4 linked regions of the Schizosaccharomyces pombe genome follow. The protein of the gene in region 1 interacts with the protein of each later gene in a pairwise test. Each region holds a gene or a part of one and is shown in the gene's direction. Other genes may lie near its edges. The genes, in order: abo2, ypp1, noc1 and prp40.

Evidence for each region.
Region 2: the proteins of abo2 (region 1) and ypp1 interact in a two-hybrid assay, tested with the Schizosaccharomyces pombe proteins (one large-scale study listed by BioGRID).
Region 3: the proteins of abo2 (region 1) and noc1 interact in a two-hybrid assay, tested with the Schizosaccharomyces pombe proteins (one large-scale study listed by BioGRID).
Region 4: the proteins of abo2 (region 1) and prp40 interact in a two-hybrid assay, tested with the Schizosaccharomyces pombe proteins (one large-scale study listed by BioGRID).

The regions. Positions count from the first base shown.
Region 1 is NC_003423.3:1,436,879-1,446,109, reverse strand, and holds abo2 (ATPase histone chaperone), read left to right. Parts: upstream 1-3,388; 5' UTR 3,389-3,537; coding exon 3,538-7,143; 3' UTR 7,144-7,275; downstream 7,276-9,231. Other genes in the region: nrk1 (nicotinamide riboside kinase), read right to left, coding at 437-636, 723-1,089, 1,264-1,332, 1,435-1,459, 1,514-1,545; SPOM_SPBP22H7.04 (uncharacterized protein), read right to left, coding at 7,276-8,043. UniProt on the Schizosaccharomyces pombe protein: Probable ATPase which may play a role in nucleosome organization.
Region 2 is NC_003424.3:4,540,710-4,547,446, forward strand, and holds ypp1 (cargo transport protein Ypp1), read left to right. Parts: upstream 1-3,126; 5' UTR 3,127-3,364; coding exon 3,365-3,373; intron 3,374-3,412; coding exon 3,413-3,524; intron 3,525-3,580; coding exon 3,581-6,048; 3' UTR 6,049-6,237; downstream 6,238-6,737. Other genes in the region: SPOM_SPAC637.03 (uncharacterized protein), read left to right, coding at 1,845-2,654; vma2 (V-type ATPase V1 subunit B), read right to left, coding at 6,371-6,737. UniProt on the Schizosaccharomyces pombe protein: Involved in endocytosis.
Region 3 is NC_003424.3:4,844,978-4,853,070, reverse strand, and holds noc1 (ribosome biogenesis protein Noc1), read left to right. Parts: upstream 1-3,538; 5' UTR 3,539-3,691; coding exon 3,692-6,274; 3' UTR 6,275-6,452; downstream 6,453-8,093. Other genes in the region: mannan polymerase complex subunit Mnn9, read left to right, coding at 1,750-2,763; protein mug126, read right to left, coding at 6,942-6,967, 7,008-7,208, 7,247-8,093.
Region 4 is NC_003424.3:5,373,432-5,381,053, forward strand, and holds prp40 (U1 snRNP-associated protein Prp40), read left to right. Parts: upstream 1-2,135; 5' UTR 2,136-2,180; coding exon 2,181-4,268; 3' UTR 4,269-4,331; downstream 4,332-7,622. Other genes in the region: protein new13, read right to left, coding at 1-205; GTPase Fet5, read right to left, coding at 686-850, 896-1,561; CHD family chromatin remodeller Hrp3, read left to right, coding at 4,996-5,187, 5,245-7,622.

The DNA.
Region 1 (9,231 bases):
ATCTGTTAAATTTTTGGTAGAGGATTTGTAGGTAGATGGCAGTTGGACTGACTTATTTGAAGCATCATAATCCACGAACATTAGCGAACGAGAAATATTAAGTACTAATATTTGAGAATAAAGTAGCTTACAAATGAATTGTCAAAATAAAAAAAGGGATGGTTATCAAGTAATAAAAGTTTGTAATATATATACATTTATTAAACGGTCTAGTTACGGATTATTAATAACATGATGTTCTAAAAGCGATAGTAGCAATAAATATATGGAGAGGAGGAAATGATGGAAAGTAATTAATTAACCCTGAATTTAAAAAGTAAATCATGCACAGGTAGTCTTGTCTAAAAAGAAAAAAAAGAAGCGGTAGAGAGGATTTGTGTATAAGTCAGGTAGTACTCAGAAAATACAAGTCGAAGAAAAGATAGATCAAAACGGATCATTGTAAAGCATTCAAAATTGAATTAATGGCCCATTGGACGTTATCTCTCACAGACATTTTACTAGAAGGGCTTAACTGTATACGCTTATCAAGCAATTTCCCTGTCACATCGCCATTGACAAACAAATGGGAATGACCATGTACATAGCCAGGCCAAACATAATTTTCGAAATAATGTGGGGGGTCTTGCCAAAATCCTGGAACAATTTGGAGTTAGCCTTAACTGAAAGGTACAACGATTAAACACAGGTGTTATGTTTTATCTGGATAGTTGAATTCTTACCTTCCAACGTTATATAACCAGTACGGGCTTCTCTACGACGCTTAAGCGTATCAAAATCGGTCACCAGCATCAGTCGAATATCAAATGCGTTTATAAGGTCTTCATTAACGTACATCATAAATCCGTCTACGAAAACGAGATGCTGTTCCAAAGTTGGAATGGCCGGTGCCTTGAATTCTTTAATTATATCAGCGTATTCTATTAGGGCTTCAGGAGCAACATTTTTATTTTCCCTATTTCGAAGGTGAGTAGGTAACACGCCATGATCACGGATATAATGCAAATTTTCAAGGAAAGCGTCTAAATTCAACGACTCTTGGCAATCCCAATCGGCAATGCCGTTTTTGACTGGTATCTCAGCATCAGTCTACAAAACAAACGAGTTAGTATATCAATAGGTGCTTTGGCACTACATAAAAACACAGTGTTTGCTTCATCGATAAGATTCAACCATCGGTTTTTAAAACGAGGGTACGATTTATTCTATGACACTTGCAAAATTCGCACGACTAGGCAAATAGACGAAATAATCTAAACGAACCTTGTAAAAATCATCTTCATGAACGAGAGAAGATCCTTCAAAAATGGCATGTAAAAGCTGGCATAGAGTCTGTCAAAACAAGAAAGAGAAATTGGTTAGTACTTCATTTTTTTTTTATTTTGGAGTTTTTGATTTTATTTTATTCTTTCTTATTAATCAAAATTATCATACCGATTTTCCACTACAAGAGGCACCACTAATTTTTTCTTGTTAATAAAAATTCATTAAAACAATTGCCTGTAGAACTTACCTAACCCCAACAATGATAGTTTTCCGAGTCATTCTAATGATAATATGGAAAAATGAAGGTAAAAATTGAGACAAGAAGCCTGGACAGAAGCTGGATACTGGAATTCGGTCTGTTATATTTGCACAACACAATTAATTAATTACCAGCCAAAAGCTGTAAGACAGGTTAACCGAATTTTAAAAAGAATTTGGATTTAAACAAAGCGCCTAGTATCTTAAATCAAGCTCGATGATTATTTGTTATGGAAATAAACGAGAATTTTAAAAAGATATGTGGTAAAGAAGCCGAATCCACAAAATTTTATAACAACCAACAAAACTTTTAGATATACAAGAACAAGTAAAAGATCACTTATAACGATTTCGCAAGTATAAGAAAATGGAAAAAGAAAGGAGTATACAAATTCTTTACGGTATAAATGGAGGATTTGAAAGATAATTTAAATTCACCAAATATTAACGCTTTCGAATACGTATAAGAATTTTTATATGGCAAATATGCCCGGTAAAGATTAATGGTGTTTTGAGTTATTGATCGTTTAAAACAAGAGTGAAATAGGAGGAAGGCTGGAGTTGGTAGTATGAAGATATGGTTAGTAGTATAATCAGTCAATAATACAAGGCTTTGGATGATAGCAATATACTAATCCGCTCCCGTCATGTATCCTTTACGAAAAGATAGGGTAGATAATAAGAGTAAAAAATACAATTTTTGTTTAAAATATATATATTTTTTGATTAGATAAAAAAAAGTGGTTCACTTTTTTTATTTATTTAGCCAAAGTATGTAGGAAATTGGAATTCTTTAATTGTTTTGCGAAAATTATTTTATTAATTATTGCTTTTTCCTTTCAAATTTGTGATAAACTATGTCTGAATAATATTAGTTTGCTATTTTCATTTTTTAAGTCGTTTTAATGTCTTTTGCTTATTGTTTACATTACACTTACTTAGTTCTACGGTAGCAAAGTTTTTATCAACTCCATGAAATGCGAATATTTCGATGAATTTAAAAAATATATGTATATTGGTTGAGTTTCTTGAGGCCTTGTTAAACGATTTTTGTAGTACTACACTTAGTAAATATAAAATTTTTTAACACTAGGTGTTTGGCTTCAGTTTTCCAATTTGACTAGCTTCAATTGCTTTTCCAAAAAAAAAATAAAAAAATAAATAAAATATAATAAAGCTATAAATTGCATGTAAATTGGATGAAACAATAGAATTAGTAATAATAATAAATACTGAATTCAAACATTAAGGAAATTTAAGGACACTATTTTAAAAATGAAATCAATATTGATCGAATTTCAATGGATCTGTATTGAATGCCAATGTAATTAGGAAATTAAAAGACCTTTTGGTTTAATAAAAAAATAAAAAAAGCCGTACCGATCTCTACCTTTGTTCATTATATCAATCTAATATGAGACGTAAAACTACGGATTATGAATAGTAAGTTTTCAAAGAGATTATAAAATAATACTCTTTGCATAAATTCTTCTCATCCTTTCAATTAACAGCGAAACGACGAAACACTGACAATCAATTAAATAAAAAAAAATACTATATCAGTGAGGAACGTCAAGTGAAGCTCAAGATTCGAAGTTGGCAATGAACTTTTATCCTCATAGAATTTCAAATCTATCCACATGTCTGTAAACAATGCATCAATGTATGGATATTACCAATGTACTAAACTGATCGTGGACAAATAATCTCAGAAAAGTCAATTTTTAAACAATATTGTTTTTGTAAAGATACTACTTCTGTTGTTTAGTCCAAAAATCCACTTACTCTACTATGTGCTTTCCTTTTCTTATAACGCATTGTTACGAACTTCATTTATTTACTTTTCCTTACAAACCTTCCATTCGTAAACCAGCATGTGGAAAACCTAAGATATCCCAAATTTTTTGGAGCCTTTAATTGTGCAATTGTAAATAAAAAATCTACATAACAAATTGTCTTAACCAAGTTGACAACGTCTTAATTTGTTGGTGCCAGCAGTGCATTTTGCGTGCAATGCGCAGAAGGGCCAGATCCATTCGTTTTAGTTCTGACGATAATGAAGATAATGAAGAAGATGATGATTATTACTCCAACGCACACAGCGAAAAATCAGAGGATCATTCAAATCATATAAAAGTTTCACATTTTGATCCTTCCTCCTATAAACAAAAGTTAGTTTCAGTGCGTGAAACTCAAAGAAATAGAAAATTCTCTTCGTTACAGAAACATCTAAACACAGAAACGCCTTCTTTTTCTGTTTCTATAGAAAATCCTTCAAAGCCTTCTGCGGCATTCAATGATGCATCATTGGGAAAGAAGAGTACTGAACATCAAATTGATGGTATCAGAAATGGAAGTAGTAACCTTCAAATGGAAGGAAATGATAAAGAGCTAGACACTGATAATAATGAGGACGAATCCACTACCTTTAAGGATGAAGAAGACGATTTGATAAGTCCGAAATCATATCTTACTTCTTCAAAAACCTTTTCGTATCCAAAAGCTCCAACAGAATCAACAAATGGTGATTATTTAGATGAAGACTACGTAGATGGACAAAGTGATCCTGAGTCTTCGAACGCCAGTGATTCTGACTTCGCGGATAGCCCTGATGATTTGACAAAAGTGCGCTCACCCATTCCAAGTAGAAGAGGACGTAGAAAAAGAAAAATGAGAGGTCCAATTTTGCCAGTTAAAAAAAATTTAAGGGTCAAGAAGGCAATGAGTCCTCTTCGCGCTGAGCGAAATTCACCAGATTTCCGACGCAAACTTCGTAGTCGTGACAATCGACCGAATTATCATTTATTTGACTATTACAACGAAATTGCATCTTCCCCAAATCCTTCAACAACGAAGATTACTTATAATCCGCCAAAATTGCCTATGAAAGATTTTGCTACTCTTCCCATCGGTTATCAAAGTACTTGCGATAGTGATGAAACGAGTGAGTTGAGCAGTACAAGTTCAGAGCAAACTTCCGACGTTGAAGGACTTAATGCTTACAATAATTTGGGCGCTAGTTCAGATATTGAGAATGCTCCCTCCTCTCAACTTCACTTTGGTCACATAGACGAAAAGACGATTAGAAGTACTGACCCTTTTGCCAATAGGGAAAATCTTGATTTCAATTCCATAGGAGGACTGGAAGATATTATACTTCAACTGAAAGAAATGGTGATGCTTCCTTTGTTATATCCAGAAGTATTCTTACATCTGCACATCACACCTCCTAGAGGTGTCTTGTTTCATGGTCCTCCAGGGACTGGAAAAACACTAATGGCTAGGGTGTTGGCCGCTAACTGCTCGACCAAAAATCAAAAAATTAGTTTCTTCTTGAGAAAAGGGTCTGATTGTTTAAGCAAATGGGTTGGCGAAGCAGAAAGGCAACTTAGGCTTTTATTCGAAGAAGCTAGAAGAGTACAACCCAGCATCATATTCTTTGATGAAATAGATGGGCTTGCTCCTATTCGATCTTCAAAACAAGAGCAAACTCACAGTTCCATTGTCTCCACCTTGCTTGCTTTAATGGATGGCCTCGATACGCGTGGACAAGTAGTAGTAATTGGTGCTACTAATCGTCCCAACGATCTTGACCCGGCCTTAAGGAGACCCGGTAGATTTGATCGCGAATTCTACTTCCCTCTACCAAATAAGCAAGCACGTATGAAAATTCTTGAAATCAATTCTTTACATTTTTCTCCAAAAATACCAGAGAGCTACTTATTACACTTAGCGGAATCTACGTCTGGTTATGGTGGAGCAGATTTAAAAGCTTTATGCACCGAAGCAGCCCTTAATGCAGTTCGACGCACCTTCCCCCAAATTTACACATCTTCTGACAAATTTTTAATTGACCTGAATGAAATATCCGTTAGCATTTGCGATTTTGTAGTCGCATCTGAGAAGATTGCTGTTTCTACACGAAGAAGTGATGTTAAGCCGAATATACCTATTACGGATTCCCACAAAATTCTGTTTAAGAAAAGTATTGAGGTTATAACGTCAAAAATTAGACGACTATTAAAACTTGACGTATATTTACCAACGGTCGAGTCTTTACAAAAACTTCCTGCTGAAGAGTTGATGAGGCAAAAAGAAATTAACTCTCTAAAAACTACCATGTCATTCCGCCCAAGACTATTGATTACTGATATTTATGGATATGGATGTACTTATTTAAGCAAAGTGCTTTTCTCTATGTTAGATGGTATCCACGTGCAGTCTTTGGATATTTCTGAGTTGTTAATGGACACAACCACATCTCCGAGGTCTTTGTTAACCAAGATATTCTCTGAAGCCCGAAAAAATGCGCCAAGTATTATATTTATCAATAACGTAGAAAAATGGCCATCTCTATTTTCACATAGCTTTTTGTCAATGTTCCTTCTTTTATTAGATTCAATTTCCCCTTTAGAACCTGTCATGTTACTGGGGTTTGCTAATACTAATCAAGAAAAATTGTCGTCTACCGTCCGCTCCTGGTTTCCTTCTCATCGAAGCGAATATCATGACTTGTCGTTTCCTGATTATTCATCAAGATACTCTTTTTTCCATTACTTGCTTAAACGTATTTCATTCCTTCCCATTCACCAAAAGAGCGCCGAAGCAGCAAGCGTTGATATTTTACCCAAAGTACTACCAGTTTCTAAAACATCAGATTTAACCGACAAAGTAAACCGAAGACAAAGAAAGAACGACAAGAAAATAAAAAACAAAATTCAGGTTAAACTTAGCTCAATACTTGAAATGCTTCGCTCTCGTTATAAAAAGTTCAAAAAACCGATAATAGATTTAAATGACATTTACATTGATGAGTCGAACGAAAGGGTGGTAAAAGGAAAATCGAAGGATAATTTTGAGTATTTCCTTTCAGGAAATACAGTCACTCGTAAAAAAGACAATGCTTGTTTCAAAATGATGAACTTTGAGGAAATTGAAAGACGCTTATGGAGTGGACGTTACTGTACTCCTAAAGAGTTTTTGCGTGATATCAAAATGATCAAACAAGATGCGATCCTGTCTGGCGACGTGAACCTCAAACACAAAGCCAAAGAAATGTTTGCGCATGCCGAATTAAATGTTGATGAGTTGATTGATGCAAAGCTGTTGTATGATTGTTGTCAAGTCTCCAAGAGGGAAAAGGCATATAAACAACTAAAACAAAAAAAACTGAACAATGCAAAGGATGCTCATGAGATGCAAGAATCAAAGAATGAAGAAACATTTGTGAGAAACGATGTTGCACAAGAAGACAATTTCATTGAGCTTTCGTCAAATGAGGTTCGCAACGTTTCTAATGATGAACATAAACATACTTTATTTCATGGACAATCACTTACTCATAACAATTTGATTGCTGTCACTCCACCTAGCAGGACTGGTGTTGAACACAAAGAAGAGAACAAAAAATACGATAACGTAAATATTCAAAAAACCTTGGCAAAATGTGCAGAGGAATTTGCTGAACATACCAATTTTAATAAGGTGGAACTACTAGATTTTGTTTATTCCAAATTGTCATCCACTATTTGGGAAAATCGTGAGGAGCATGATCTTCTTAAGATAGTTCGGGATGTAAGACAAACTTTCTTTCGGTCGCTTGAGGATATGGGTGTTTAATGAAATTTTGGGTTAATGTGTCTAAGCGATCTGTTAGTGAGATACAACAAATCTAAATGATAGTTGGTAATGAATGAAAGCTCACAATAAAAGATAGGAACCACGAAAGAAGATACATTTGAAATTGAAAAGCTAATATCGGTTTCCGATGACACAGAATAGTACGTCCTTTGAATTACCAGCATATTTTCCATTTGCATTTAAAAGATAGTAAAATGGACGATCGCGAATTTTCAGAGTGATTGGGTTTTTCTGTAGGGAGTAAGTAACGATTGATACGTCTTTTCTTGGAACAATTAATGATTTAGAAAAATAAAGCTTGTTAAATGGTGATAAAAATCCAGTTACAATTTCAAACCGTTGGGATGGTAAGGTAGAAATTGAATAAATATTTCGTCTTGGTAAAAATAAAATCAACGTTAAAGTAAAGTAAAGAGCAGGAGTAATAAAAGCAGATCCAATATAAGATAATTTCTCGTAATAATCCATATCGACCCAATTGGCAAATATCTCATCTTTTGCGCGATATATGTCAACACTGGCAAAAGAAGTAATCACACAGACATTTATAAGCATCCCGACAGTTAATAAATAAATAAGACTGATTTTCTTATCTGCTTTTGCTTGATATACAAGAAAAGGCTCCCGAGTTGTCATTGCTTGCCAAGCAATTTTCGCTGGGGTTGCATTCCGTTTTGAGGTAATATCTTTCAGTATGTTAGAGTTATGGAATTTTTTGATGGGCGGCTTATTAAACACTCTCAATATTGATATTTCCGAGAAAGACTTCTGAATTGGACGCAATGACCTAAACATAGGATTGAACATATTTGTTGAAACAATTCGAGACAACAACGCCTTATGCCTAGCAACACGTATATTAAAGATTAGCATACTCATAACTTCGCAACATGAAAATGTTCAATTGATCAGCTTAACCCTTTAATTAATTAAATTACCCGTGTAAATTCAAGGGTGAAGAATTGAATGTAAATACGTGTAAACATTTTAGCAAATGTTTTACGCATTCGAATAATACTTAGTGGATTATTGTCCGTTTGATATTACCAAATAGAGAATCCCAATGAGAATATTTAAAAAAATAACGCACTCAACCACGATGAAGGCAGCAGCATGGAAAATGCTGAAAAAAGAAATGTAAATGTCAATTATACGGCTGAATAGTCAGACGTTTTAACAAGCCGGGTGTAAAAATTTTTTTGATCTATTCAAGCGCTGCTTTATTTTTATAAAATATGTACTGGCATTGTTGAAAGCTGACTTTTAGTTCATCATGAACAAAATAATATATTTCGGCTTTCCGAATCGTTAAAATGCAAGAAGTAATTAATGTTACAAAAAATTAAAGATGCCATTTACTTCAACCACTCCTCGTCTATTGTTTTCATACACAAATGAAACGGAAACCGTGTAACCTTGCTACATACTTTTAATACAATTAACACTTTACGGACTACGTGGAAAGTGTAAGACAAAAGCAGAATAGCATAAGTCCTTTATTCATGATATAAGTGCTGAGAACGGAGCTTACTCATCCAAGCATATAGACACACAATGCTCTTTTTTTTTTAAAGAATGCTTGAATGGGCACACGTAGCCGATGTACTGAAGGCATATTTACTAACTGATTCATTACCTATAATTTGAGTTAGTCTAACCATGATAGGTCATTAGTTAAATGACTCGTATTTGCGAAATAGAAACCAAATATTATTTATGATGCAGTAAACGATGAATAAATCCAATAAATGAAAGATTTAGAGATTGAACTTTAACGAAATAAGAAGGGCTTGAGGAAGATGCGAGGAACTGGAAAAGAATGATGTGTAAGAAAAATAATAGACATTATCAAAGAAATAGGCAAAAGGTCAAGCACAACTAGTTGAAGGCAGTCGGTTAGACGAAATATTAGAATCTGTAATACTAATGCAAAAAGAGCATACGGAAGAGAAAGTAGTGAATAAAAGAAAGTCCAAGAATTCGTGGTACTACCACAAGGATATAAGAAGCTCAAAAAAATGGAAATGCAATAGAAAGAAGAAATCATCAAAGGAATGAGAAAATAGA
Region 2 (6,737 bases), on another chromosome or scaffold:
GTTCCCCATTGCTTTTAGGAGATTTCGAACGAGGGTGTCGGAATGTGCTGCTCGGTAAACATAGAAAAAACAATAAAAACCAGTTTCCCAGTCAATGCAGAATTTGAAAACTGTTTGTAATGAAAATAATTAATCGTGTCCGTAAAAGCACAACCTTTAACACGAAATTTGTTTAATTGAGAAGATAAGATGGGGTTTTCGCTTACATATATTTAGACAAGCGCAACATAATAGGGTAAGTATCACAGGAAGAAGAGGAAAAATTAGAATACAATTTTAAAATCATGACAATGTAAGTAGTGTAAGAGCGAGGACTTCTATAATATTTGACAGCGGCAATTCGGGAAAACATATTGCCTAAGTCTGATTTTTTTTGAAGTTCATTATTTTGCTCAAAGGAGTGTGCTGAAAGAAATAAATAAATCAGCGTTAATAAAATTTAATATAAATGAATCAGAATATAAGTTAGATGAAAAATTCGATAAGTAAGCAATCAAGCAGTTTAACTGTTCGGCTAATAATACACGGGCAGGTTTATTCCTATAATATCTAACGGGTGGTCTGCATTTGATATGATCATTGCAACGTTGGTGTCTGACAGAAAAAAGTCGAATTCTTATAGATGAATTCTAGCATTTCTTCAGTCAGAAAAATATATCGAAGACTCTAAGTTTACCCTTTAAATGTGTCACTTGTGGTTTTCTTATACGGAAAAGATACAGAACAATCCACGGCTAAAGGAGATCCTCATCCAACAACCCGAGAAAGTCTATCATTTGGATGAACGGATACTCATCCAAAACTTTCAAGAATTGTGTTTTTTTTGCTTCTATCTTCAATGCCCTGTATCGAACTGAATTGCGATTGTCATTAATTTGCCTTGCTATGCCATACCAAGCCAAGCTATTTTAAGCAAACGGTTTAGTTGGACTCCAATAATAAATGCTTTACAAAAAAGAAATGCGATTGATAAACTAGAACACTCTCCAATGTATGTCTACCAATTCCTAAATACTTTCAATTCGCAACATTCTTATGGCCTTTGTGGTCGCTTCAATTCGGCTTTGAAAACCGGGTTAAAAGGCATCGCATAAATTTGTATCTTCCAAAACAGTTGATTTTATAAAAAGCTCATAAATAATTTCTCAGCGCGAGCAAATGGTAATTTCTTTGAAATCAGCGCCTTTGGAATTTTCATTTTACGCCTTATTGACATTCCCATCGATATACGTAACATGTTACTCCATGATACATGGTTTCAGCTGATGCCAAGGCATCGTTGCGTAAGCATTACGAAGGAATATGATGATGGAAGGAGGCATGGGTTGGGCAGTTTCTGCAGTCTGCTAAATTTAAATAGTCTGCCTATATATATTAAATCTCTCGCACTTTTATGACCTTCCCTCTCCCATACATATTTGCAAGTTTGCGTATAACGTTGCTTTCTAACACAATTTACTTTTAATCCACTTCAAACACTTGGTTTAGCTTTTAAAGAAAAGCTTAGGATTTTGCTACTGTTTGTTACGAGGAATTGTTGCAGAAGAATTCAATTTTTTTAAGTCGTATTTACCAACGATTTTATTCAATTTAAAAAGTTTGACTTTCATAGGCTGTTGCTTAGTTTATCGTCAATTCCTTGCGTATTGCCGGAACCTAGTTAATATCTAAAAAAACACAAACAAACCAAATTCCAAAAGTGGTTGAAAATTGCCGCTTCGCTACTTTTACTATCTCCGGGAAAGAAGACCTGTAATTTAATTTTTTCTTCTTCTTCCAATTCGTACTATTAATATTACCGCTAGTTTCTTCTTATTCTTTCGCCTACTACTTAATTGTTCAATATGCAAATTACTCGTGAGTCAAAATACATTATTGGGCTCGTCTTAGCCTTGGGTGTAAGCTTTGCTACCCTTTTGGCTCATTTGTTTACCAAACCATCTCTTGAATGGGTTTACAATCACCATGCCACTCCATTTTTCGCCAACAAGTTCATGCTTGGTGGCTACCTCTTGGTCGAATACTTGTCTTTCCTTTTGATGATTGTGCCCCTTTTAATGCTTGGTGATCAGGTAAACGATTTTACCTTCTCCATTATTCACACATCTATCTGGTACAATGTATTTGTCGTGTTTACCGTCTGGGCATTTACCCGTGAGAAGCTGTACTGGACTGCATTCTTTTCCTTGTGTCTATTCTCATCTTCTTTCACCATGTACGGCCAATCGCTTCGCTTGAGAAATGGTTTTGTTGAGATGATTAGCATGAAGTTGCCCTCGAAACTTGTTTTTGGCAAGTCTCTTTGGTTCGTTGTTTATGCCTTCTCTGCCGCTTTACACTGCACCGGCATTGGTTGCCGCGTCTTTTCTAATGTGTTTATCTGGTTCTTTGCCGCCATGTATCTTGTTCCTATTTTAGGATTCCATGACTGGGCTCTTTCCCTCGTCAGCGCATACCTTTTCCTTTCAATCGGTATTGGACAAATGTTTATTCACCTCTTTGCCTTGCAACACATTTTCGCCTTTATCATTGCTGGTCTCATGACCCTTTTCGCTGCTCTTCTCTTCCTCCTTCCCTACAGACAGAGACGCGCTGCTTTAACAGGCGAGAGTGCTCCTTTGCTTCAGGACAACAACGCGGGACCCGCAGTTTAAACTCTTGTAGTCTTCTGCATGTTGTTGCTCCGTTCTACTAAATAGTATGATAATGAATTTGCTTAATTGTATTATGTTACACTTAACTTTAGTATAAAAATTTAATTTTTCTCCCATAAATCTTTCGACTCAAAATTCAGGTGGATAGCAGATTAAAGCATAGTTTTGACGATCAACTTCATCATGGTTAATAGCACCCTTCTTAGTATAAAGTTGCTTCGTGTGCTAACTTTACAAGCACTTCATTGACGAAGACATCCAGCTTATTCTTATATGGATCACGAAAGTGTCATCATATTCAACTATTCGTACTCTGGCTAACTTGTACGCTAATTATTTAATCTTATTTGCTTCATGTATTTATTAAAGAACCCTTAAAGCAAAAAACTTGGTATACACTACTTTTTCTTTACTTAGCTCAATATCTCAATTACTTTCTCATGCCGACGGTTACGCACCTCCATTCAACCTTGGCCTACTCCATATATCGAACCATCAAAATTCCTTCATCTTGGTATTCTTGAGGCGTTAAATACCTTCTTTAAACCTTTTCTTTTTACAATTCCTTCGTTTTTCTTGTTACTGTAAATATATATCAATTTATTTAAAGTTTGCGTTCAAAGTTCTATAAACGAATTTTACGTTCCAACTACTGCGTTTGACCTTTTTTTTCTCTTTATATATACAAATACCAAGTTATAAAAAAATTCATGTTTTCCGTACGTCTAAACTATGAGTTTTCATACTGACTGATATAGGCTAAAGCAAAAACCTATGAACTAAAACTAGAACAAACAAGATGTAATGGAGATTGGCAGGCAATTCCTGAGGTTGCTAGAAAATTGCATAAGCATAACTCTTCAAAGTCCTGTGAGTGATTTACAGTCAAAGTTTTCCACTTGTCATCTAGACTAACCTTTTTTTAGTCGTTTGTGAATTAGCAAAAATTGAAGCTTCTCTTAAATCAGCATTAACTGCTGAACTAAAAAATATTGCAAACGTTTTGGAGCCTAAATTAATAGATAATCAGTATTCCCTAATTCCGGCTTTACCCAGTGCTCGTACCGACCCTCTTCTAAGTCAATTAAACTCATTGAACATTCAAAATGCCACAGAAGATGAGAAGCTTCAGGAGACATCCATACGCTTGTTATTATACATTGTACAGCGTAAATTTCCCGAAGCCGTAGATTTAGATTGGTCTCCTCAAGGAATTCCGTGGACTGAAACTTCCACTGGTATATGCATCCTACAAGCAACAGTGCTATCATCGCTAGCTCAATATGCTCAAGCTAACGATGAAGTTGCATATCAATACGTTCGTTCGGCCATTGGCTTAATTCAAAATGCCAATATTGGCAAGAAGCCTTTACCGGAACTTACAAGATGGTGCGATCTTGCATATTCATTGTATGCTCAAATGTCTGTAAGCGCTTGTTCGAGTCAATTAGAAAGAGCTAATATACTTACTACATGCTTGAGCTATTTTACCGAGCATAAGTCCGTGAATTTGCTTTATAAACTAGTTACCAGCAGACAAGCTATTAAATATTTGGAACATATTTTAAGAACTAATACAAATGGATCAAAAATTTTTACTAAAAGTCCGGTTAAAAATCTTTATTTAAATTGGCCTCAACTTGTCCTCGATTATGGGTCTTTGTTATGTAACTTTACCTCTTTTCCTAAAGCTGGTGATCAAAACATGTTCGCCGTTGAATTTATTGAACTTGCAACATCAATATGGATAAACACAGAGAAATCTTACGATATCACTGTCAGCTTGATTCGAATGCTTTATCAGCTTACTGGAAAATGCTTCCAAGCACAACAAATTTTTCGTTCTTTGGTATTTTTTTTAAGGCATATTGAGGAATTTGAAGAAGCTAGCGAGGCTTTTGAAATTTACAAGTTTCTATGCGTAAAATCTCACGAACGGTTAGCAAGAAAAAATTCAGATGTCGCTGGCTCTTTTTCTGATATCAAACCAGTGTTTGTTGATGAACCGAAAAGTATTATTGAAGTATGCTCCGTTATGATGACCGTTTATGCGCAATATCTTCGTAATTTGAAAAAAGTTTCTGAAATACTTGATTATATTACAAAAATTGCTTCTGATTATGATTTACTGAAACGTGACGATATTGCTCCTTTAATTTATCATACAGAAGGAGTTGCTTATTCTTTCATGTATTATCAAGCTAACAACCCTTCGTTAAGGGAAAGATATCACCAGAAGAGCGTCCAATCTTACCAGAAATGTCTAGAAAAGCAACCAACCAATACAAATGCACTTTTCCATTTGGCTATGCAATATTCGGAGAGACGTGCCATTACTGATGCAATGCAAATTGTTCGGCGACTTCTTGAGGTGAACCCTAAGTACAGTATTGTATCTTGGCATCTTTTGGTTTTGTGTGTGTCTTGTTCTGAACAATACGCAGCAGGAATTAAGCTGATCGATAGTGTATTTGAAACTTGGGGCATTAATCATGTCAATGAAGATGGCACTATTGAGATTAGTTTGACAAATTTGACATTTAATGACCGCTGCGCTTTGGTCGATTTATTGATTACGAAACTAGCTCTTTTTGAAGCCGAAAAAGGCGTAGAAGCTACTCTGGATATCCAGGATGAAATATTTACATTATTTGCTAGTATTTTTGATTTGAATGAGTACAGGATATCAAAGGAAGGATCGTCAGATGAATTATCAACGCTTTTAGAACGATCGACTATTCAATCCATTAAATCATCCAAGAAAATCTCTAAAGATGTGGAAAATGAAAAAGGAAGTATTCTTGGGTTTTCCAGGAAATCATCGCTTAAGAGATCTACTGTTTTAAGCAAAAAATCCCACTCTTCCTATAAAGAAAATTTTCAGTTACGTCGTGGTAAAACCGTATCATATCTCAATCAGAAGCTTTGGCTTACCGCTGCATCTCTTTTCCTTAAAAGTGGAAATGATGATCAAGCACGAAGCGCTTTACTAGAAGCTAAAAAAATAGACCATGAATGTGCTTGGGTGTACTATTTAAATGGTTTATCTTTACTACAACAGGGAAAAGAAGTTGAAGGGTATGAGCAACTTGACGTTGCTCATTATTTAGACCCGGAGGATCCCTTAATTTCGACGGCCCTTGCAAAGTGTCTTTTACAAGGTGGCTATGGGCCTATGCATTCTCGTAGAAATAGAGCAGATGCTATTTTATCGAGCTGTACTTTGCAGTATGGCTGGGATCTACCAGAAGCTTGGTATTATACTGCAGAAATATTTCGTCAACTCGGTGATTTAAAACAAGCTGCGTTTTCGTATGATTATTGCATCCAGCTAGCTGATACAAACCCTGTACGCCGATGGAGTAACTTGCAGCCTAGGTTTATGAACGTTTAAACTGTCTACATTTTTTGGACTTTTATTATTTATAAATTGAATTTACAAACTTTAAGGCACTTTCAATAGTAATTTATATGTTTCCTTTGTAGTGATTGTAACTTCAATATGAACTCACATAATAGACATAAATAGATAAATGTTATTTATGACATTGTGTTAAATTAATAACGAAGCAATTGCACCTTGAATCAGTATCTATAACAGTCTTCTTTCCAAATCACCAACAAACAAATAGCATTAGATAATTGCACCGAAAATAACGATTCAAGGACATTTCAAAATTAGCGATTATTTGGTCTGTATTTGCAGCGTCAAAAAACTAAGAGCTTTCAGGAGTGTTGTCTATAACATCTTTGGAAGATTCAGTATAGGCAGAGGATCTTGAATAATATTGATCCAAAATCTTCTTAGGAATACGAGTTAACATCTCACGAGGGAAGATGCGAAGGAGGGACCAAGCCAAATCCAGTGTTTCAAAAATAGTACGATTCTCGTAAGCACCTTGACTAATGAAAGTCTTTTCAAATTTACCCAAAAATTCAAGAGCAAGGCGATCTTCTTGAGAAAGGGCTTCCTCGCCAACTACTGATTTCATGGAAGCAGCATCACGACCGATGGCATACATTGCATACAGCTGGTTAGAAACATCACCATGATCATTTCTAGTCATTCCTTCACCAATGGCA
Region 3 (8,093 bases), on another chromosome or scaffold:
AAACCCCCGTGTTGGTGGTTATGTATGTGATGAAGAGTGTAGCTAGGAGCTCGAGCATGAACATCTATTTGCTCAAGTAGGAAATTAAACTTAACCAATTTTTTTCTTAATTATGTTTCACGAAATTATAGAGCTTTTTTGAAATTTCTTAATTCACTGTCGCGTCGAATTTAGGTCCTTAACCTCGAAATATACACGGCTGGGATGCATTAAATAAAAAGATACTAAACATTGTTATTCCATTGTTTTAGTTGTCTTGTTAATTTTACAATTATTTTTTTTAACAATTGGATAAATCTAATGAATTAAAATTATCCATTATCTGTATTTGTTTAAAAACATTTTTTGACCTTTTATTTATACCTAAATTATTTGTTTGAATACCCTTTCAGCATGCAATCATCTAAATCTTTTGAATTTAATTTAAAATATTTATTTTTCTATTAATATAGAACCTTGGGCAGTAGTCGTTGAATTGAGCATTAATGCAAATCCAATTTATTGCACAACTGATTATTTATTCAATTGAACTTGTACGTCGACAATGTGACCCTCAACGATTTTAAAGATTTAATTATTAGACATAAAACACAGTTAGAAATTATTGCCTGGCCAACATTTTCATGCTAATAGATGATTCAGAAACAAATATCTATATTTCTTTTCCTACGAAAAAGTAAGATCAAACTAAAACATTAGAAGCTTGTTTACCGTATATTTTTGATCTTAAAGGACTTTTAAGATAAATTTGAACTTATTATAAATAATAAAATGTTAAAAAAAAATTTAACATAATAGGATCATTTTTACTAATTAAATAACGATTATATTAGTCTTTATAACAGCGTTTACAGTCTCCGAATTGCAGTATAAGCTCTAAAACTCAATTGAATAAAGGCATTTAATAGTCAATCATTGTTTTGTTTTCCTTCTAGCTATTTCAGCTCTTCTTGCTATCAAAGCACGGAATGACTTAACGCGGTGTTGTGTGGCTGGTATCAGAGAAAGAATAACTCCAGTAAAGGTACGCAAGCAATCCCAGTATGTCGTCGTTAAAACTATGAATATAATATGTCAAAAATTAATGTGAAAAGACGTTAATCAACACAATATAGAAGTACGTGTCTTATATTAAGAAATCGAAATATCTATAATTGAATTTAATAACGAAATCTTGCGTGACTACGCTATTAATTCTAGTTGTTATGAATACAGATGGGATCAAGGTAACTGGTATTCACCTCCTTTTCGACGTAACCAGAGCCACACATTATACTGGACAAAGGCGTTCTCTGGCGGCGGAATCGAACCAATATATAAGAAAACACTCAAATTCTGGGTTTATTGGAGGAAATTTTTTATTTTAAAAACAGTTTCTTTTACTCGAAAAAGCGTTTTTAATACTTCTTTCTTTGGCTTTGTTTTTACTCGATAGGGGCAAAACCTGTACAAGCTTGATTCGTGAACGTACGACATAATCCTTTGTTTGTATTAATGCTTAAATTATCTTAAGTATTTATTAACGGGGTATTCACTAGTTGAAATACATTTATATATATAAGGTGTTACTTTCGCGACTACAGCTGTTAGCCGTTGCTTTTTTAAGGAATTCGCATAATTATTTAAGAACTCGATTCTGTTTAGACCCACAAAACAACATCCAGATTCGGGTTGATTTTAATTTTTAACTCTCTATTTTTATTACTCTTATTAAATTGTGCCCTTCCATTTTTATTTATAAACTTTAAGATGCGCGTGTACAATAAATCTAGAATTGTAGGGCAGCTCCTTTTTGTGGCCCTCGGTATTACTTTCATCTATTACCTATTTACTCCATCTGTCAATTCAAATGCCAAAGTTCAGATTGAAAACCGTGGGGGGAATTCTTACGAAATATACGATATGAACAAAATTACGGAATCTTCCGATCCCATTCGTAACAAAGAGGAGGTGTTAATCTTAACTCCTATTGCTCGATTTTATCCACAGTATTGGAAAAATCTTCTTGAGCTTGACTATCCGAGGAATTTAATTTCTTTAGGGTTTATTGTTCCTTCGTCAAAGGACGGTGCAAAAGTTCATCGTGAACTTCGGAATGCTATCAATGCTGTTCAGAAAGGTCCAGGCGATAAGCGTTTTGCCGATGTTAAAATTTTAATCCAAGACTCTGATCTTTCTTCAGGGCAATCAGAGGCCGAACGGCATAAATTTTCTGCCCAGAAGGAGCGTCGGGGAAAGTTAGCTGCTACCAGAAATACATTGCTGTTAAGCACTCTAAAACCTAGTACCTCTTGGGTTTTGTGGCTTGATTCTGACATTGTAGAAACTCCCTCCACGTTAATCCAAGATTTGGCGGAACACAATGAAGACGTGTTGGTAGCTAATTGTTTCCAAAAGCAAGGCGATAAACTAACTCCTTATGACTTCAATAGTTGGGTCGATTCTCAAACCGCGCAGGAGCTTGCAAGTCACATGGACAGGGATGAGATTTTGCTTGAAGGATATGCTGAATTGCCTACTTATCGAATGTTGATGGCTAAAATTTATGAGGAGCACAAAGATCCATCTACAATTATGGCTCTTGACGGTGTAGGCACCACTGCTTTACTGGTGAAGGCAAGTGTTCATAGGGATGGCGCATTATTCCCAACCTTCCCTTTTTACCACCTTATTGAAAGTGAGGGCTTTGCAAAGATGGCTAAGCGTTTAGGTCATGGAGTTTATGGATTACCCTATTATTTAGTGTTCCATCATAATGAGTAGGGGGATGGATTAGGATTGCTTTTTTCATTTGCATGTGCTTTGCATGCATTGTGAACGTTCATGCCGTTTAACCCATATTGGCTAAATCGTTTATTTAAAGAAAAGAAAAAAATCCTTTGTACTTGTAAAGTAAGCAACCACGAGGAGTTAAGCTTTGCATTATCTAATCATGCTCGCTTATGTGTAGACAACCATAAATGTGTTAATTAGGAATCTTCTTAGGATTCTACTGCGTTAGAAGTCTTTTCTCTGTCTTGTTTGCTGGAGCTGTTTCTGCCTTAAAATGCGAAAATGCTGTAACTGGCATGTCTTTCTTTTTTTTCTCTCTCATTAATACTTGCATTTGAAATTTTCCTTTATGGCATATCGGCCATTCGTAACTCATTAACCCAGAGTTGCAGCTCATTGACTGGTGAACACTAATTCATTAACATTCGTTGCAAAAATTTCGCCAATTGCATGATAATCTGGTCTATATTTTATTCTTATAAAACATCTATTATGCTGACAATTGTTAATTTATTTTGCAGTAGTCAAGTCACTGTATGAATATGGTAGCTGGATTTTTTGTATGGTTTTAATGTAGTACAAAATTGAGTATTACTTTTACAAATGTAGCCACTTTAAATTTTTATAATATGTTCTAGTACAAAAACAATATCCCAAAAAGTATTTTCAAAATTTGAATGCTTTCCTTGTTTAGCGTATAACATTAGCGTACGTTATTTTGTTCTGAAGGACTGGTTAGTGTCGCTATTGACTTCTGCCAGTATTCACCCCTCTAAAATTAATTTTAATAATTGTTACAAATAAGGCCCTTTTGATCTTCTGACTGTTATAAAACATTACCCTTTTATTTTTGTTGAATTCCTAGAAGACTGGTTTATCATTTAAGGAAGGAGAACAAAGCAAAAAAAAAATTCGCGAGATGGCAACGTTGTACCCCAAACCAAAACGAGGGCAGAAGATTATTTTTAATGAAGAAGGAGAAGGTACAATTGATACTAAACCTCAGGGGGTCATGTTTGATCCCGGAGTTCCATGGTATAATATTCCTTTGCCAGAATTGCATGAGGATAAAAAGTTTGTAAACGTAGATCATGTCTCTGAATTAGAGACGCGTGGATTATTGCTTTTGAAAGAAGACTCAGAAAGGTTTTCAGAAACTCTGGGACATGGAACAGCTGACAAACGGATGTTACAAACTCTCATTAGTTCTGGTACCACCAGTGATCGTATTTCCGCACTCACCTTACTTGTTCAGGAATCTCCCATACATGCAGTTAAGGCATTGGAAACTTTGCTTTCTATTTGTTCCAAAAAATCTCGTAACGAAGCTACTCAAGCTATTACCACTCTCAAAGACCTTTTTATCGGAGGACTTCTTCCAGACAGAAAGTTAAAGTATATGAAACAGCAATCTTGTTTGGGGTCTAAAAACGTTACAGACAAACATCTTATGGTATGGGCTTTTGAAAGTTTTTTGAAGTCATTTTATTTTAAATACATTCAAATCATTGAAGCTTTGTCTTTTGACGCACTTCTATTTGTAAAAAGTCAAATGGTTTCTACTATCTATGACTTATTGAAGGCTAAACCTGAACAAGAACAAAATTTGCTCAAGTTGTTGATTAATAAACTCGGTGATAAGGAGAATAAAATTGCCTCTAAAGCTTCTTATTCAATTCTCCAGCTCGAAGCTAGTCATCCTGCAATGAAGCTTGTGATTACTAAGGAAATTGAAAGATTCATCTTTGCACCTTCTACAAGCCGTACCAGTTGTTACTACACATTGATAACGTTGAATCAAACTGTTTTGACTCATAAACAAGTCGACGTTGCTAATTTATTAATAGAAATATATTTTGTTTTTTTTACTAAACTCTTGTTTGCTTTAGAGAAGGAAGAGGTTGCTGATGCTCCTACTTTGGAAAAAAAGTCTCTGCAGTCAGATTCAAAAAACAAAAAGTCACAAAAACGAAAGAAGGATGAAGATTTAAGGAAAGAGGCTGAAGAAAACGTTAATTCACGCGTGATATCAGCGGTATTGACAGGCGTCAACCGTGCTTATCCCTTTGCAGAAGTGAATTCTGAAAAATTTGACAAGCACATGAATACCCTATTTGCCATCACCCATACTGCTTCTTTTAATACGTCAGTTCAAGTTTTAATGCTAATTTTTCAAGCATCTGCTAGCCGTGATTTCATTTCGGACCGTTATTATAAAAGCCTTTACGAATCATTACTTGACCCACGTCTAACAACGTCGTCGAAACAGTCTCTTTATCTGAATTTACTTTATAAGTCACTTATTATAGACAACAACATTCCACGTGTTCGAGCATTTATAAAAAGAATGGTTCAGGTCTCAGCGTGGCAGCAACCTCCTTTAGTCACTGGATTATTTCATGTGATGCACCAACTTGTTATCGCCACGACAGCATTGCGTTCTATGTTTACAAATGCTGAAATCCATGACTTTGATGGAGATGAGGAAGAGGTCTTTAAGGATGTTGAAGAAGATGACGTTTCCGAAGATCAAAAGGTAGATTCAGATAAAGACGGGAAATTAAGTGATAAGCAATCTCATTCTGCCTATGTTGTAGGCAATGTTAGTGTTTCAACCAAAAAAGAGCATCTCTCTTATGACGGTAGAAAGAGAGACCCTCAATACAGTAACGCAGATGGCTCATGTCTTTGGGAAATTCACCCTTTTTTGAACCATTTCCACCCAACCGTTTCACTCCTAGCCAAGAGCCTTGTTTATGGTGAAAAAATATTGGGTAAACCTAATTTGTCGCTTCATACGTTGAACCACTTTCTTGACAAATTTGCATATAGAAACCCGAAGAAGTCTGCTGCTGCTCGTGGTCATTCAATTATGCAACCATTAGCTGGAGGCCTGAGCAAAGGTTATGTTCCTGGTTCTACGTACAGTGGTGTTCCAATGAACTCTGAGCAGTTCACTTCAAAGAAACAAGAGGAGATTCCTGTTGATGAGCTTTTCTTTTATCGCTTTTTCAATGATAAATATATCAAGGGAAAGCAGGCTAGAAAGACAAAGGTGGATAGGGATGAAGAGGGTGAAATTGACGAGGATGAAGTTTGGAAAGCTCTTGTTGATTCCAAACCACAATTGGAAATGGATGAAGAGGAAAGTGACTTTGATTCTGAAGAGATGGATAAAGCAATGACCGATATGGGTAGTGATAGTGAACAGTCTGCAGATGAGAATGACAATGAGTCAATGGCTTCCGAAGAAAAACCCATGTTTTCAGACGAGGAAAATCTTTCGGAGATTGCACACTCTGAAGATGAGTTTGATGATACTGTTGATTTTTTTGAAGATGAAAATGATTTGCTTCCGTTCAATGAAACTGACGATGAGGAAGAAATACAAACCGTTGATCATTCCGAGACCCATTCTCATAAAAAGAAAAAGAGAAAAGCAATTAAAGATTTACCTGTATTTGCTGATGCTGAGTCGTATGCTCATTTACTCGAAAATTGATTTTTGCTGCTTAAGTATTGTAATTCAACATTTGGTTATTTCGTATAACTTCGAAGGTTTATTATATTCCTTTTTCCGTTGGTTAGGGGGCGATAATGGATATTTTAATTGGGATTTGCATATTTCGGGTATAGTTTTTTTAGATTAGAATTAATTTGTTAAAAAAAAATTTTTTTTATCCCTATACCGGCTTTGTATTGGATTTATAGTAAGGATTGAATTTTATCATTACTATTTACAAAAGACTATGATTTTCTAGTATAGAAAGTAATATACTCTATGTTTTAAGATGACCGTAATTTCAATTCCCCTTATCAATTGAATAAACAGAAAAATTAATTCTTATATAAACTAAGCGCTCTTTGATTTAATAGTTACTTTACACTACTAAAGAATTTTTGGGAGAATGTTAGCTGTTTTGTTTCAATTTGTCTGAGAAAATGAATGTATTATTTGCTTGTGTTACTCTAAAGAAACGAAAATGCAATCACATCCGTCAGACCAGCAACGATTTATAATAAAAAAGAGATAAAAAATGAAAGTTGTTAACAATAACATCATCAAATTAACAGAGCTTTTTGCGAATATTTTGGTCATTTTAAAAGTTGTGAAACATGTAAAATTTCAGAATGATGATGATCTGCAGTTAAATTTAACGAATAAGCACTTAACGCCCTGAAGTGCAATATATTGCTACACAAGTTATTAAATTTAGCACGATTTGAAAACTTACCCCCTAGCTCAATAATGTAAACATTTATAGCAGCAAAAATCGAATAAATTTCCAGCGGTATTTTTTCGAATTGCGGGTAGGGTGTGTCTATTAGAAAACAGAATACCCTTGTCAAAAAGAAGATACAGGCGTAAACCCAAAAACATGCGCCGCAATATATCGCCATTCGTTTTAAAATATTTAAAAAATTTCGAAACAATGCTAAAAAATTAGTATTGATATTATGGTGTTTAACTTACCTAGGTAGATTAGCCCTCTGGCAATCATCAAAACTCCAAACAAACACCACAGGAAGATTTGTGCCGAAACTGTTGCTTCAAACCCGTATTCCTTTGAAACATATTCAATTAAATCAAGAAAGGCTAGCAAGTAGACTCCGTATCCAAGTAAGGAAATGACAAATATTTTTGAACGGCGTGTCTGAGGTTTTGAGTTGCTGTTTGTGATTGTCGCCTGATTTCTATTTCGAAGATTATAATGTTCCTGTTGAGTAGTCTTCGGTTTTTGCTTGTCATCTTGAGTTTCCTGTCGATCAAATGATGATTCCTCTTGATTGCTCGAAGTCTCCTGTTGATTAGCTTGTGGTTCCTGGGGTACAGCTTTTTGACCAGCCTGTGGCTCCTGTTGGGTGACCTTTGAATAAGCTTGAGGGTTTTCTTGAACAGTCTCCAATTTTTTCCCAGCATTCTGAAGCTCCTCCTCTTGAACTGTCGAAGTTTTCTTTTTGTCCGTTTGTGATTCCCCTTGAGTAATGAAAGCTTCATATTGAGAGTCTAATTGAGGATTTCGAGGATCCTCCTGGTCAGTTGGAAAGTTCGCTTGACCAGTGTGAGATTCCTGTTGATCACTTTCAAAGCTTTGCATTCTTCCCATTTCAATTGAATCAATTCCCATCTCCAGGTCGCATGGTTTTTCTTTTGACTTTGTAAGAATGAATGATTTGATTACTTCCTTCAAGTTATACATTCTATGTCTCTGTTCATGCTTCACAAGTGGACTTGACGATCTAGAAGATCTATTCTGTTCATCTTCATTTTCGTCATTGACATTTTCCGGACACGGATCCTCTAGTAAGGTCTTCTGAAT
Region 4 (7,622 bases), on another chromosome or scaffold:
CTTCTGTGGGGGATAAATGCTCTTTATTTGATGTATTACCGGTTTCCGCTAGTTTTCTGCCCGTACGCGGAGGTGAGCTAGCTTTCGTAATGGCTTTTGCTGGTTTTTGAACGTTCACTGCAGGCTTTGGTTTTACAGTTGGTTTTTCATTCACCACTTTTTTTTCCTTTGACTTGGAACTACATATTGATAGTACTTGTCCCATAATTGATTATTTGGCTTTGGCTGATGACTTTGCATGTCACTCACTTCATTTTACGTACGGAAATTCTCGGTAAACAATTTTAAAGAATTCTATGCCGAATTTTAGCAAAGCTTTTTGATTACATTGTTTGTACATGATTAGTTAATGAATAGCCATTTCTTATTTAAACCATTTTTCACATAGTGCTGTTGGTACTGTGTACTTTGTTGGAACCGGATTTAAAACCATTGTTGTACTCATCAATTGTATAATCAGTAAATGCATTCAAGTTCCTACAAAACATTTTATTTATATTTAAACAAAAAAATATCTAATTGTTTTCTTCAAACTACTATGCTAAAACTTTACAAATGAGATGTGTCAAATTACAAACTATTTATAAATAAAATTCGCAAACGTTGAAACTCTTCGACTTTCATTAACATCATAAGAATCTATGCACCGGTTCCAAAATTTTTACCCTTCTATACGTGTATCTCCCTATTCATCGTCTTCTAAATCATCTGCTTCAAACCGATCAGGATCTTTTGGTTCCTGATCTTCGTACCATTGGGTAGCATCGTCAATATAACTAAGTACTCTGCTTACGCTTTCCTCGTTTCCGCTCTCAAGAGGAAGGAAATTGACCATATTAAAGTCATCAATCTAGTCATTAGCAGAAGCTCGAGGAATTATGATTCTGTGACTTACCAGTTGAACAATGCACCGATTAAGTTCGTGAAACTTTGGGTTTGTTGTTTCGTTAATTTCACCTGTGAGCAAGAGTGGATCTGTATTGAGAAACCTTTTTAATTCCGCTTTTGTAATGTTATTGTTGTCTTTGAGTAAATCCATTTTGCTCAATAAGTTAATATGCGGGACTTCCATCATAACCATTGCGCTCATTGCGCTTAAAACACCCGCAAAGAACTTTGTACGGTCAACGAGAAATTGGCTTTCTAACAGGTAGACAGCACAAGGACGAAAGTTTAGGGTTACTTGAAGATGGCGAATTAATGCTGGTAAAATTGGTACGTGAGTATACAATTCAATTTGTCCAGGCATATCGAAAATTAAATAGTCTTCGTCGTAATCGCCAATTTCTTCATTTAACCAATCTAAGTTTTCCATCAAAAATTCGAAACAATAAATTAACCCACCATTAGGGCCGTAGTCCAGCTCTTCCATAACATCATCAATGGATATTAAGTCTCTAATATCAACAGTTGGTTCCCATTCGAAGTTTTCTGCAGCAGGATCTAAATTAACTAAATGGCAAGAACGTCCAACGCTTTTCATATAAGACATTAATGCTCCACAAAACGTACTTTTACCACTGCTGGCAACACCACAAACAAAAGCTGCCACCTTAACCATTTTTCTAAAAAGACTAACGTCTTTTGAAACGTCGTGTTCTTTTATCCTATGCCTTCTTACCTGTGCCCGTATGCACCCTTATAACTCGCCATGCGATGCCCTAAGTATTTTACTGACTTTTAACAACAAATACTTTAACTGTGAATAACACGCTCTGTTTAAATCTTTAAGTCTTGCAGAATTTACGTTAAACGTCACTAAAAACATTCATTTTTTTGAATACCCCCTAATATAAGTACGATGTCAATATAGCTTTTTCTACTTCTTGTATAAAATTAGTTTAATTTCTCTTGATACAGCTTAACTCACTCCATATTTCAACTCAGTCATAAGTTGTTTAGCAACGGCTATAGCATCGCTTGTAAATTAACTCACTTTGAAGTCTGTTATTCTCAAGACCTGTTTACAACAATATAGTAAATGTATTCTAAACTGACCACAGTCTAACGTATCTCTATTATCAATTAGATATTACGTAGTTGATAATACAGTGAAACAACGAGTCCCCCACATATAGACTCGACCACCACACCCGTTTGTAGTGAACAGTGAGTGTAACTCTACACGCTGGCTTAAACCACAACCCCAATTTTAAGGGGAGTTATTCATAAATGTGAAGATGTCTGCACCTCCATGGCAAACTTCAGAGTACGATGAAACTGAGGGATTCACGTCTAATCAGGAAGGGCCGTCAGCAGCTCCTTCCAAGACTGTGGCCTCTGACTGGCATGAAGTGAAGACAGAAGATTCTCGAGTTTATTACTACAACTCAGTAACGCGCAAAAGTGTTTGGGAAAAACCAGAGGAGTTAATGAATGACTTTGAAAAAAAGCTTTCGAAACTAGCTTGGAAAGAATATGCCACCGCTGATGGCAAAAAGTATTGGTATAATGTCAATACCCGTGAATCAGTGTGGGATATTCCTGATGAATATAAAGCTGCCCTTGTTGATGAACCGGAACAGCAAAAAAAGGCTTTGTCGTCTAAAATCAAAAGCAATGACAACAAGCCAGCTGTTCAAAGCATTCAACGGCATGGTCCGGATGTTGCTGCTCCTTCAAGTCAACCAGCTAAAGATCAAAGCCAACAAATTTCACAAGGCAGTCATAAACGAACTATAAACTTTGTTCAACAAAAGGATAAGCGCCAAAAACGTTCTAATGATTATCAGCACGAAAACTATGATACCTATGAAGCCGCAGAGCGCGCTTTCTTTAAATTTTTAGACTCTCATAATGTCAACCCAAGCTGGACTTGGGAGCAGACTGTCCGAGAGCTTTGTGATGCTAAGGGCTATTATGTCATGAAGGATCCTTGGCATCGGAAATGTGCTTTCGATGCGTACATCTTAAACTATTTGACCGATCAAAGTGATGCAGAAAAGAACCGAGTAACTAAGATTAGGAAGGAGTTTATTGAGATGCTAAAAAGTAGTGATAAAATTCATTCTTATACTTTGTGGCGTACTGTGAAGAATGAATTTTCTTCTCATCCTGCTTTTAACGCTACTTCTTCTGAAACTGAACAACAACAACTATTTTTTGAATATAAGCAAAAGCTTTTAGAGGATGAAAAGCAGTTGGAAAAGGATCGCAGAAAGGAAGCATTGGATGATTTTTGTTCGCTTTTGCGAAACATGAATTTCGAGCCTTACACCCGCTGGAGCGTTGCGCAAGCAAAATTTGATCAAGATCCAAGGTATACAAGGAATTCAAATATGAAATATCTTTCTAAATTAGATGCTCTTGTAGCATTTGAAGATCATGTTAAGCATTTGGAACGCGAATATATTCTTGACAAACAAAAGCAGAAGAAAGAAAAGCATCGTATAGAAAGGAAAAATCGTGATGCCTTTCGTGCGCTATTACAAGACTTACGCGTGCAAAAGAAGATTACATTACGCACGAAGTGGAAAGAATTATATCCCATAATCAAGGATGATCCAAGATATCTTAACTTACTAGGGCAATCTGGCTCTACACCATTAGATTTATTTTGGGATACGATCGTTGATTTGGAGAATATGTATCGGGAAAAGCGTAATTTGGTTTTGGACTGTCTTGAAGTATTGCAAATATCTGTGGATGACACATCTAATATTCCTGAAATTATAGCAAGGTTATCAGAAAAGCTTAAAGATCGAGAGGAAAGTGAGGCAGTAACTGAAGACCTTATTGAAGAAGTTGTTAATCGATTACGTGATAAAGCGATCCACAAAAAAGCTGAGGAAAAGCGTGCTGATGAACGACGCATTCGAAGGAAAATTGATAATCTCAGAAGTGCCATTAAATACCTTAAACCTCCAATTTCTGCCGATGCTTCTTACGATGAAATTAGACCTTTAATTTCTATTCTACCGGAATTTGCTGCGCTCCATTCCGAGGAACACAGGATGGCTGCTTTTGACAAATATATAAGACGGCTTCGAGAAAAACGGGAATTGGAAAAGCAATACCAAAACAGAAGAGGTTATTATGATGTCGGTAAAGATGAAAGTTATTTAGCGAATAGTGCCCGACCACATAGCGGATACGAAGATGGAAGGTTGGAATATTCTGCTGACTTAGCGTCAAAAAGTAATAGGAATGAAATTAATACGATGCAGGATGTACAGGAAAATTCAATCTCTCATGTTACCGCTACACAACCGGCTGTTAAAAATATTGTTGATGATGCAGAATCTAGTGAAGAAGGTGAAATTCGTTAGTATTCAAGTTAGAAATTTAATTGTTAGTGCGTTTAATACACATGCATTTTAATGTTCTCTCAACTCGCTTTTTGTATTCATACAGTTTGATTACCTTTAGTAGCGGATACAGCCTGTAGCTATTTGAACCTCTACCACCAGTACCTCAAAAATTGTTTTTGTAACAAAACTAGCAAGTTGCTATTAAAATAGCAAAATACTGCTATAAGCGTTCTATTTAATAACGCGTAAGTAAATTTTTATTAAATTTTGTTGCAGCCACAGTTCGTTTTCCGAATTTGACGCTGAATATGTGAATGATCCACGTGTCGCATTTTTTTGTTAAACCTACATTGTTCAATGCACTGAATGTAGCTCTCTTTTTTTAAAAACCTTCTTTCTTATTATGTTTTGCTTGTTTCTCTTGTGATACAATCTTTTTGGTGGCATTCGACCTTTTATTCAAAATTGCTCTTTCTTCGAAAATGAACGATATAGTGCTTCCTATCGAAAAGATACGGGAGTTAATATGTGTTCTTTATTTAAATCTGTTCGGATCTCGTCTAAATATAGTCGTTAGTCAAGAGTTATAAATATTCACATTTAAAGTGGCATCTGGCAGTTCTCAGTTAACTAGAAGTTGGATGGAAGCCTATTACATATTTCACAATTATTCAGCATTTCAATTTCGGAAAAGTTTTGCAATAAGAAATTTGCGAAATTGGTTCTAACTTCTGTTTTAGTTGATATGAGTACAAGTGCTATAGCACTTGCTTTGTCATCATCTAAGGCTATTGAGCAGCTGGATCACGTTCAAACTGAAACCCCTAATCTTAAGCAGGAAATGTCCGAATCCCCTTCGAATAGCGGCGTAGCCTCCAAGCGCAAATTACAATCTACTGAATGGCTCGACCCAGAGCTTTACGGTCTTCGACGTTCTGTATGTCTCACATTATTTTATTCATTATGAAACTTACTTAGATGCTAATCATTATAGGGTCGCACTCGTAGTAATCCAGGAAGATATGTAGACACTGATGATCAAGAAGATGTGTTCCCATCCAAGCATCGTAAAGGTACTAGAAATGGTTCATCTTTTTCTCGTCATCGAACAATTCGCGATTTAGACGATGAAGCTGAATCTGTCACCTCTGAGGAAAGTGAGTCAGATGATAGTTCTTATGGCGGAACTCCCAAAAAGCGATCTCGGCAAAAAAAATCAAACACCTACGTTCAAGATGAAATTCGATTTTCTTCTAGAAATAGTAAAGGTGTTAACTATAACGAAGACGCGTATTTTGAATCGTTTGAAGAAGAAGAGGAAGAAGAGATGTATGAGTACGCAACTGAAGTTTCTGAAGAACCTGAAGATACACGAGCTATAGATGTCGTTTTAGATCATAGACTTATTGAAGGACACGATGGCTCTACACCTTCTGAAGATTATGAGTTTTTAATTAAATGGGTTAATTTTTCTCATCTTCATTGTACATGGGAACCTTACAATAACATTTCTATGATCAGAGGATCTAAAAAGGTCGACAATCACATTAAGCAAGTCATACTTCTTGATCGAGAAATTCGAGAAGATCCGACCACTACGCGTGAAGACATTGAAGCAATGGATATTGAAAAAGAGAGAAAGCGTGAAAATTACGAGGAATATAAGCAGGTAGACAGAATTGTTGCCAAACACTTAAACTCCGATGGCTCAGTTGAATACTTAGTGAAATGGAAGCAGCTGTTATATGATTTTTGCACATGGGAAGCTTCCTCAATTATTGAGCCTATTGCTGCCACGGAAATTCAGGCATTTCAAGAAAGAGAAGAAAGTGCTCTTAGTCCATCAAGAGGTACAAACTATGGTAATTCGCGTCCTAAGTATCGAAAACTGGAGCAACAGCCTTCGTATATAACCGGTGGTGAGCTTCGTGACTTTCAGCTTACAGGCGTCAACTGGATGGCATATCTTTGGCATAAAAATGAAAATGGGATTTTGGCCGATGAAATGGGTCTCGGTAAGACAGTCCAAACTGTGGCTTTTCTTTCATATCTTGCACATTCTTTAAGACAGCATGGACCTTTTCTTGTAGTTGTTCCACTTTCTACAGTTCCTGCCTGGCAAGAGACATTAGCTCTTTGGGCTTCTGATATGAATTGTATAAGTTACCTTGGAAATACCACCTCAAGGCAAGTAATAAGGGATTACGAATTTTATGTTGATGGAACTCAGAAAATAAAGTTCAACTTGCTTCTAACTACTTATGAGTATGTACTCAAAGATCGCTCGGTGCTTAGTAATATAAAATGGCAATATATGGCAATTGACGAAGCTCATCGATTAAAAAACAGTGAATCGTCACTTTATGAAGCACTTTCTCAGTTCAAGAACTCAAATCGATTACTTATAACTGGAACACCATTACAAAATAATATTCGTGAGCTTGCGGCTTTGGTAGACTTCCTGATGCCAGGAAAGTTTGAGATTCGTGAGGAAATTAATTTAGAAGCACCAGATGAGGAGCAGGAAGCTTATATTAGAAGTTTACAGGAGCATTTACAACCCTACATTTTACGAAGATTAAAGAAAGACGTTGAGAAATCTCTTCCTTCTAAGTCTGAACGTATCCTTCGTGTTGAGCTTTCTGACTTACAAATGTACTGGTACAAAAATATTTTAACTCGCAATTACCGTGTCCTTACTCAAAGCATAAGTTCGGGAAGTCAAATATCTTTACTAAACATAGTTGTGGAGTTGAAAAAGGCAAGTAATCATCCTTACTTATTTGACGGAGTAGAAGAGTCATGGATGCAAAAAATAAACTCTCAAGGAAGACGAGATGAAGTCTTAAAAGGTTTAATTATGAACAGCGGGAAAATGGTGTTACTTGACAAACTTCTATCACGTCTTCGTCGAGACGGCCACCGCGTTTTAATTTTTAGTCAAATGGTTCGTATGCTTGACATTCTTGGTGATTATCTTTCTTTGAGGGGATATCCACATCAGAGACTGGATGGCACTGTCCCTGCTGCTGTACGAAGAACTTCAATAGATCATTTTAATGCACCAAACAGCCCAGATTTTGTGTTTTTATTATCCACACGAGCTGGAGGATTAGGTATTAATTTAATGACTGCTGATACAGTTATTATTTTTGATTCCGATTGGAACCCTCAAGCTGATTTACAAGCTATGGCACGTGCGCATCGCATTGGTCAGAAAAATCATGTTATGGTATACAGGCTTCTTTCCAAAGATACGATTGAAGAAGATGTCTTGGAACGTGCACGTCGTAAAATGATTCTTGAATATGCAATTATTTCATTAGGTGTTACAGACAAGCAAAAGAATTCCAAAAATGATAAATTTTCTGC